Tribolium castaneum: one gene and its partner. The main gene of each other region encodes a partner of the protein of the gene in region 2 in a complex. Links are inferred from orthologs where the notes say so. Each region holds a gene or a part of one and is shown on either strand. Other genes may lie near its edges.

What was found.
Region 1: CSN7 (region 2) and CSN5 share a complex: the UniProt entries of both Drosophila melanogaster proteins name them as parts of the CSN complex. The link is inferred for Tribolium castaneum from reciprocal best matches to the Drosophila melanogaster genes CSN7 and CSN5.

The regions. Positions count from the first base shown.
Region 1 is NC_087395.1:23,654,598-23,658,167, forward strand, and holds CSN5 (COP9 signalosome complex subunit 5), read right to left. Parts: upstream 2,037-3,570; 5' UTR 1,716-2,036; exon of another isoform or gene 1,672-1,715; 5' UTR 1,651-1,671; coding exon 1,493-1,650; intron 1,444-1,492; coding exon 567-1,443; 3' UTR 511-566; downstream 1-510. UniProt on the Drosophila melanogaster protein: Probable protease subunit of the COP9 signalosome complex (CSN), a complex involved in various cellular and developmental processes.
Region 2 is NC_087395.1:497,376-501,996, reverse strand, and holds the start of CSN7 (COP9 signalosome complex subunit 7b), read right to left. Parts: upstream 2,967-4,621; 5' UTR 2,870-2,966; coding exon 2,705-2,869; intron 2,657-2,704; coding exon 2,492-2,656; intron 574-2,491; coding exon 265-573; intron 209-264; coding exon 38-208; 3' UTR 1-37. Other genes in the region: IQ domain-containing protein E-like, read left to right, coding at 3,215-3,229, 3,277-3,438. UniProt on the Drosophila melanogaster protein: Component of the COP9 signalosome complex (CSN), a complex involved in various cellular and developmental processes.

The DNA of each region.
Region 1 (3,570 bases), about 23 Mb from region 2:
GGTTTTTGCTACGGAGGACTATGACTTAGGAGACGGAACGAGATGCAGAATCGTGGGATTTTCTGGACCCAAAAAGTGAAGCAAAAATGTGGGCACTTCGAGCGTTATACCGGCGCCAAGTCGTTTTAAATTAATTTAAATTCATTCAATTATTCACTAATTACTTGAAAAAAAAAATGCAGGAATGTTGAGTTTTGCACTCTGAACAGACTGAGAAAAGCTGATCGTATTCCCAGCGTTTTGAAAAATATGGGATAGAGTGCTAATTGGCAAAGATTGAAATTTTTTTAAATGTAGTTTACGGTATTTTTTTTTCATTATGTTTATGTCTTACTATTGAGAATTTAATGCTCCATTTGCCTGTATTTTTTTGCTGTGTTAACCGATATACGAATACAATTTTTTCAAATCCATTGCTTTGGAAGGGAACGTTTTATTTGTACGACGTTTCGTATCCTAACCTTTAGATATCCGTAGTTTTTTAGGACTAGGTAACCAATAACACACCAATTAGATTATAAATAAATATTTATTAAATCCAAACAAATCAGACAGATTAAAACGCGTTAATGGGTCGAATTATTCAAGGAAGTGCTGTTAAAAAGCCGGTCTTTGATCATTTGGGCCATCAGTCCGTGAATAATCTCAATCGTAGTCTTGCAACTGTCCTTTGTAGCTTTCAACAGTTTGTCTTCTGTTCGTTTTTCGTGCGGATCAGTGCCGCCTACGATGAACCCCCCGCGCCCAATGGCCGCTTCCGACTGTTCCAACTTCTCCGACAAATCAAAAATTTGCCCAGTTGTGTAATCAGCATTCGTTAACAAACTAGACGAGCTCAAAGTATTGACCCAATATTTGTTCCACAAGGAATCAAGCAATCGCCTATCAAGTGACGATTTAAAATACGACACTTCAAGCGAATAATATTGTTTGCAATGCACCCCAAAATCCTCGATTTTGTTCAGAGGAATGGTCTGGTACTCTGACGGTTCCTCATTTGCTGGTTTGTACCCTTTCGGGTACGTCCTGAACGCCCCTAGACACACCTTCCCCGCGGAAATGGTTCTCACAGGATCAATCACAATGGCAACGAACGGTTCCTGGAAATTCTGGTTGAGCATCTGGGTGCCAACGTCAATCCCAGACAACCAGCACCCGTATCCCGGGTGGCTGTGGTACCAGCCTATCGCGTTCTCCTGGCGGCCCACCAGCTTCGCAGCCTCGATGTACGAACTCATGTACTCGTAAGCCTGAGCTTGTGCGTTGACTCGGGTCTCTGTCCCTTCCACAGGCAGCGCAAACGAGTCCATCACAAACATTGTGTTTCCGTCGACTTTGCCCAAAATCAGGCCCATGACCTCCAGGGTGCCCCCCGAACGCGCGTGCATGACCATTTTCAAGAGGGCCAAGGCCGAGATTTTGATATCTTTGAAGAAGTGAGGGCTGGAAATTGAGATTAGGTAAAGTGAGGTTAGGGCCGACTTTTGCCTACTCTTTCTCCCAGGGCTTCGCGGCGAGGATGTCTTGCTGCTGCTTCTTGTCGTAGCGGTAAATATCGTCGACCGAGTTCACCAGTTCGACTTTATTGGCCATTTCCCAGGTTTTTTGTGCGATTTGTTCCTGGGTTTCGGAGGTCCCCGGCTTCGACATTGCGGCAAAAGGGGGCAAAAGCTAATCACAAATGGAGAGTTATTGCGAAAATGACGAGGATTTACCGTAATTCTGGGCTATTTTGGGCAAAAATTCGAAAAAATCGGACCTGTCAAAACACAGATGTCAAATTACAGCGCTACCAATCGTAAATATAAAAACTGGAAGGACACTTTTTTAATTTTTTTTTTTAGATATGGGACGATTTACGTATTAATTGCTGTAATAATGAGACAATGCATAATGGTAATGAAAAAAAATCGATAAATTGTTTGTGGCACAAACCGACAAGGAGTTTTGTCACAGAAAATAATTATTTTACGAGTGGCTTGGCATTTGGTGGCCCGTTATTGCCTTCATTGGGCTATTTTTACCGAATTGTGTTTTTCAAGGTGGGACAGGTGTTCGCAAAGTGTGTTAACAGTCCTGCAGATGTCGTCCCATTAGCGTTTTTCTTTTGTTTTTTTCCCATTTGCACGAAACGACTTTGTGTTGGTTTTTGCGAACGTAAAGCCCGGCCGTAATTCGGTGTAACGTTATGGGAGTATAATTGGAGTCTCATCGTTTAAAACCCATAAACAAGTCCAACCACACCCTGACAGTTTTATTAGGGTGGTTTTTTAGCAGTTGGCAATTCTAAAGCGTCTTAAATCAAACCGACCAATCAGCGGGCGGCATTCGGTGCATAATGGTGGGGCGCCCGCCATTTTGATTCGAGATTATGCGCGTTTTAGTTAAAGAAAAGTTTGTAATAAGTAGTGTGGTAACGTTGTGTTGTAGAATTTGTGCTCGTTTTAAATAGGATTTTAGGAGGATAAGGTGAGTTTTGGGCCAAGTGGTCAATTAAATAGCATATTTTTGGGTCCGGGGGGCGATTTCCGCTAACAAATGCCGGCGAAAATGTCGTAGTTTTCGCGATTTGGGACGTTAGAGTCGAGGGATGCGCGCCGGTTGTCGCAGAATTCAAAAATTGGGGCCATGCTTGAGGCTGGGGGCTGTTGCTAGGCCGCGTTCTTTGTTAGTGCACGTCCCCCGTAATTAGGGGCGAATTCGTGACTTGGGGTCCGAGGGTGAGTCAGGGTGTCGGTGTGGCACCCACATGTCTGTGCCGAAAATCCCCAACGGAACGACCATTGTGGTGCACTTGCATTGTTCGGTTATCGCTTATTTCAAACGCAATTTGTTTATTATCTGTCTTCTTGCAATGTAATACGCGCCTGTAAAAAATTCAAATCCAAGGCCACATACTCGCGTATTGAAACACGATGAATTCCTTTCCTCCCGTTCGAACTAAATTTAGACTAGGGGATTTTACCCCCGAATTAAAAATAACCAGGTTTTTTACGCGTAAACCGGGTTTTTAAACGAGTCCAGATACCACCTGCTGCGAATTTTAAAATAACCGCAAGGATTTCCAGCGAATGCAGCTTTGTTTCAATTTAGGTGAGTTTTTGGTGGGTTCAACGGTATTTCCAACTAGTTTCGTGATGTATAGGCTCTTTGTAGTGCGGATAATGTTCTAAGCTGTGACAGTTTCAAGATTAATTTTGACTCCCAACCGGTTATTCTCCAGTAAAAGTTTACGGCTCTAAATCGTGACAATTAAATTAATAATTGTTATGCTTACATTGTAATATTGCGTGAAGGACGCTTTTTAAATTATTGACAGAAACGTGAAAAGCAGTCCCGATCTATTCTCGTTATTACAGTGGGGTCCGGTTATAACGAAATACATCAAAATCAGTTCGCTATAAGCGTAAATTTTCAAATAAAGTGTTTTTTAGCAGTAATTTTTACCCTACATATGAAATAAGACGAAATAAATAAGTATATATAGCAAAAAATTTTTATATGCAGAGTTTTGGTTGGCGAATAAATTTGGGACCAACAAGTCAGTCAAAATTTTGACTTTTAGCTGCC
Region 2 (4,621 bases):
TAAAATTGTTACATGTTAATATATTAGAAAAAAATTATTAAGATTTAAGCCAAAACTTACTGCTATGCCTTATACCTTTGATTTTAGTTGACTTTTTTCCTTTTTCGCTAATTGCTGCAGCTTCCCTGTTATCAGTAGCCATAGCCTCGTCAGTTCCATCAGAGCGTTCTTGTAATTGAGTTTTCAGAGTCTTTTTAATGTTACTAATCTACAAAAAAAATGCATATCTAAAACAAAGTAATGATACAAACTCGAAAAAAATACCTCTTGCTCCACTTCAGCTTTTCTCAACATTGATTTATTTTTTTCATTATTTGCTCTATGTATTTGTGTTTCAACACAAGCCAAAACACCTTCACAGGCCGAACACCAGTCTTGGAGACAATTCACAATTACATTAATGTCTTCAGGACGAATATCACGACCTATGGCATAATCAACCTCCAATTGACTATTTTTCTGGTCCAATTTTCCATGAATAATGTCAGCGTAAATCGCCTCAATTATTAAGTCCTCCAAATCACGAACATTTGTTATGCCTAGCTCTTCCAGAAGGGTGTTGTACGGAATACACTAAAAAAACATTGTTTTTATTATTACTTGCTCTAAGAAAAATCAATCAAATTTTGTTAAATTAGTAGATAGGCTGATTCTTTTAGAGCCTACATTAGAAACTTTAACTTCTAACATAGCTAGAGGTATGATTTGTTGAAAATGATGATTAAAAAATGATTATAAAACAGTTTTTCAAATGGAATTACCCAGTTTTTTAAATAGCAATCAAAAGAACATCAATTTTTATGCATACTTTTAATAACATCTTCTATATATCTATTTCTTACAGTATTTGAAATAATCGCAAAAAACAGAATTTTAGCTCATTATTTTCATTTTTAATCAAGTAAACTTTTGAAAAATACGATAAAATTGTACTGTTAACAAAAAGAAATGTCCTATTTATTTACCATTTTCATTCAAGAAGTTCAAGGATCAATGGCAAACTGACTGAGTTACTTTACATAATTCACTAACTTATAATAAACTATAATTAAATGTGATTATTTTACTGATTATTCGATAATGAAACAGCTAAAAACTAAATAAAAAATTGAAGTTTGATAATTGTTGACCATTTTGCAAGGTATACTTGATTAACTATGAAAACTACCAAGTAAAATCCGTTTTTTGTGATTTTTTTCAAAAACTGTAAGAGATTGGTATAGGACGTATTGATAAAAGTCACCATAAATATCGATATTCTTTCCATTGCCGTTAAGAAAATAGAGTCGTTCTATTAAAAAAAAGTTGTAGAGAAAAATGCAATGCAACTTTTTTACAAAGTTAAAAAATAGTACAATTTTGAACTGAATAGTTTTTGTGCAAAAATGCTTGAAAATGACGTAAATTTGTCGATAGTTTAATTATTTTTGACAAAAAATAAAAAAAAATTGCAGACTTTTTAGAAGATTTATTATAAAGTACGGTAAAAATTTCTAGTTTTTGGATCAAAAAGAAGCTTAAAATGTTTTTAATTTTTTTGTTTTCACTTTCAAAAAAATCACTCGTATTAGATACTGATAAATTCATTGTAGTAACAAAAACCGAGCAGAAAAGTTTGATTATCGCTAGGCAAAAATGGTTAAAAAATCTTTTTTTAATTTTTTTATATTTGTTTTTTTTGTTAACTTGAACATGTAACATGGTACAAATTTATGTCCCTTTTATGAATTTTAGGAATATACTCGATTATCTTTAGATTGTTATAGTAGTCAAAACAATGTACTGGGTGGCCGTTTTTTCAGCTCCACCATGGGAATCTCAGTTATTATACGAGATACGAGGTGGTTAAAATTTGGGTTTTAATTTTTTTCGAGTGAAAACCAAAAGAACTAGACGTTTTTAACTAGAACGTTCTTTAGGTACATTTTTACAAGAAATCTAAATCTGTCGTCCCATTTTCCAAGGCGTTCTTGATGTCAGTGTTACAACACTAAATTTTGTTTTTTCTTATGGAAGCCATATTTGCTTTTTGTATTTTTGAAGTGTTTTCATTTCCGATTACATCTATGTATCACATGATATAATCGAATCTTAAATGCTCATCAAAATGGAGAAAAAAGCATTTTTACAAAGAGTGCTTTGGAAAGAACGCCAACAATTTTTTTGTTTTTAAACAAACTAGATTAAACAAAATCATTAAGAGCTGATGACATTTTTATGCCGAAACATTCGCAAATTGCAATAACTTGTATTTTTTTTAATAAAAAATGATAGCCAAAAGCTGCATTAACATGCTTTTTTTGGATACCATGTGCTAACTGCTATTAAAACCATTGATAAATTTTAATACAATAATGTGCTCCGCCATCTACACAACACTATCGAAACTATCGAGAACGAGGACTTTTTATTTGTAGGTCGTGTCGTTTCCTAATCTATAGTTATCCATATTAAAAACTTAATTTCACTAAAGTGGAATTACTTTAACTACCTTTGATTTGGTGGCCAACGTAACAATGGTTAAATGTTGAAGCTTTTTCTTCTGAGCTGGGCTTAATTCAATTAAATCCTTCTTATTTGCTAGATAATCCTTGTAGGTTCCGTAAGCAAACAAGTTGAGAGTGTTGTAGAAATTTTTCTGTGGTGTATTACTCAACTACAAAACACTTAGTTAATGTATAAATGTAAAAATATGTTTGATTACCTCTTCAATGTTTTGCATGTGAAGTAATTCACCAAAAACGTAAACACCGGGGGCTTCCAACACTTGCTTGATCAGTTCGGAACAAGCAGCCCCTTTTGTTGACTTTGACAATAAAACAAATTGTTCCAAGGCATTGCCAGGGAAAGGATTTTTTTCAATAACCATTTTTTTAGTTTTTATTAGTTAATTTGTTGTTTTTGAAGCACTTTTTAAACACAACAACCGATCAGCTGTCACACGCTGCTGTCAAATGTCAAAGAAACATAATTGCGCCTGCGCAGCTTTTGACATAAAGCGGTAAATTTAAATTTGTTTAAAATTTAACAACATTGATTAAAGAAAGTAAGAAATAGTAGAAAATAGATACAATAGTTTTAATTATATAATATTTTTAACCCGGCTATATTTATGTTTGTGTTTGCTGCAATCCGTTGCTAATTACATTGTAAAATTTGTTTGATCAATACTTAAATTACAAACAAAACAAACGTAACTTCGTCTTCGGCTACAATGTTTCGAAATGAGGTAATAAAATATTTATACTTTAGTTTATTTATACTTTGTATTATTAGTTACAAGATGATGGAGATTTGCGGACTGAAATTTTTCATCTGAAGAAAAATTTATCCAACATTAGCACCGAAAATCGTATGCTAAAGGTGAAAATACGCAAATTGCAGAATGAAATTATTAAAAAGGATAAACAAATTGATGCTATATTGGATCCAAAAAAGGTAAAAAACTCTATTAAAAGTTTCAAGTTTTTAAACAATTTTAGTGTTTCGCTTTCTTTCGGAGAATTTGTTCTTTTATTTCTTTTAAGTTTTTCACAAAACATCATTGACACTATTTGTTTGTAATTTTATCCTTATATGACAATAAATAAATGATTTTCTTAGTAATTGAAGGTAAAACAATTAAATTTAGCTGTTATTATTAGGTTTATGTATAAAAAGTTTTGCTAAAATTACAACAAATTGGCGTCTATAAAACTTGTACAAATTTATTCAAATAAGTATAGTCAAATAAGGCAACAAATAAATCATACCGATAAATTAAATAGTAAATAAAAACCGAGCTTTAAAATTTAACCATCCTTAGGTAAGAAATGTCAAAGATTCCTTATTTTTATTTTTTTAATTCTCGGAGCCAAAAAAAACAGTTATATTAAATATACTAATAAATTAATTGAAGTAACAAAAGCCCAGCTTAAAAATTGTAAAAAATTCCACATAATTATTTTTTACTTTTGTTTTAATTTTGCTGTCTTACAGATAACTAATTGTGGTTATAAAAAACGAACGTTAAAATTATTTTTTTTTGGCAATAATTGTTAAAAATTCTTATTTAATTTTTTATTTTGATTTTCTTTTTAATTTTCGGTATCTAAAAAAGACGATCAATTGGAACAAAAACTAAGCTTAAAAAAGTATAATTATATAAGATATAAAAACTGTTAAGAATTCTTTATTTTTATTCTTTCTTTTTTATTTTTAGGATCAAAAAAGATAAGTCTTACTAATAAATTAATTGTAGTAATAAAATCACACTTAAAAATTTTATTGTCTTAAGGAAAGAAGTTTTAAAAATTTCTATTTTTATTTTACTTATTTTTTTTTCGTCAAAAAAATCTATTTTACTGATAAATTCATTGTAGTAACAAAAATACAATCGGAAAAATTTTATCATTTTCAGGCAACAATTGTTAAAAAAAAACATATTCATATGTATATGTATTTTTTTATTTTTGTTAAAAAAACAGTCTAACTCAAAAAGTAATTAGAGCAAAACCGAGCATAATAGTTTGATTGTCTTTGAACAAAAATTCCTTATTCTTATTTTTTATTTTTCTTTCTTTTTTAATTTTCAGTGTCAAAGAATAATCGATCTAACTCATAAATCAAAAGTATGATTATT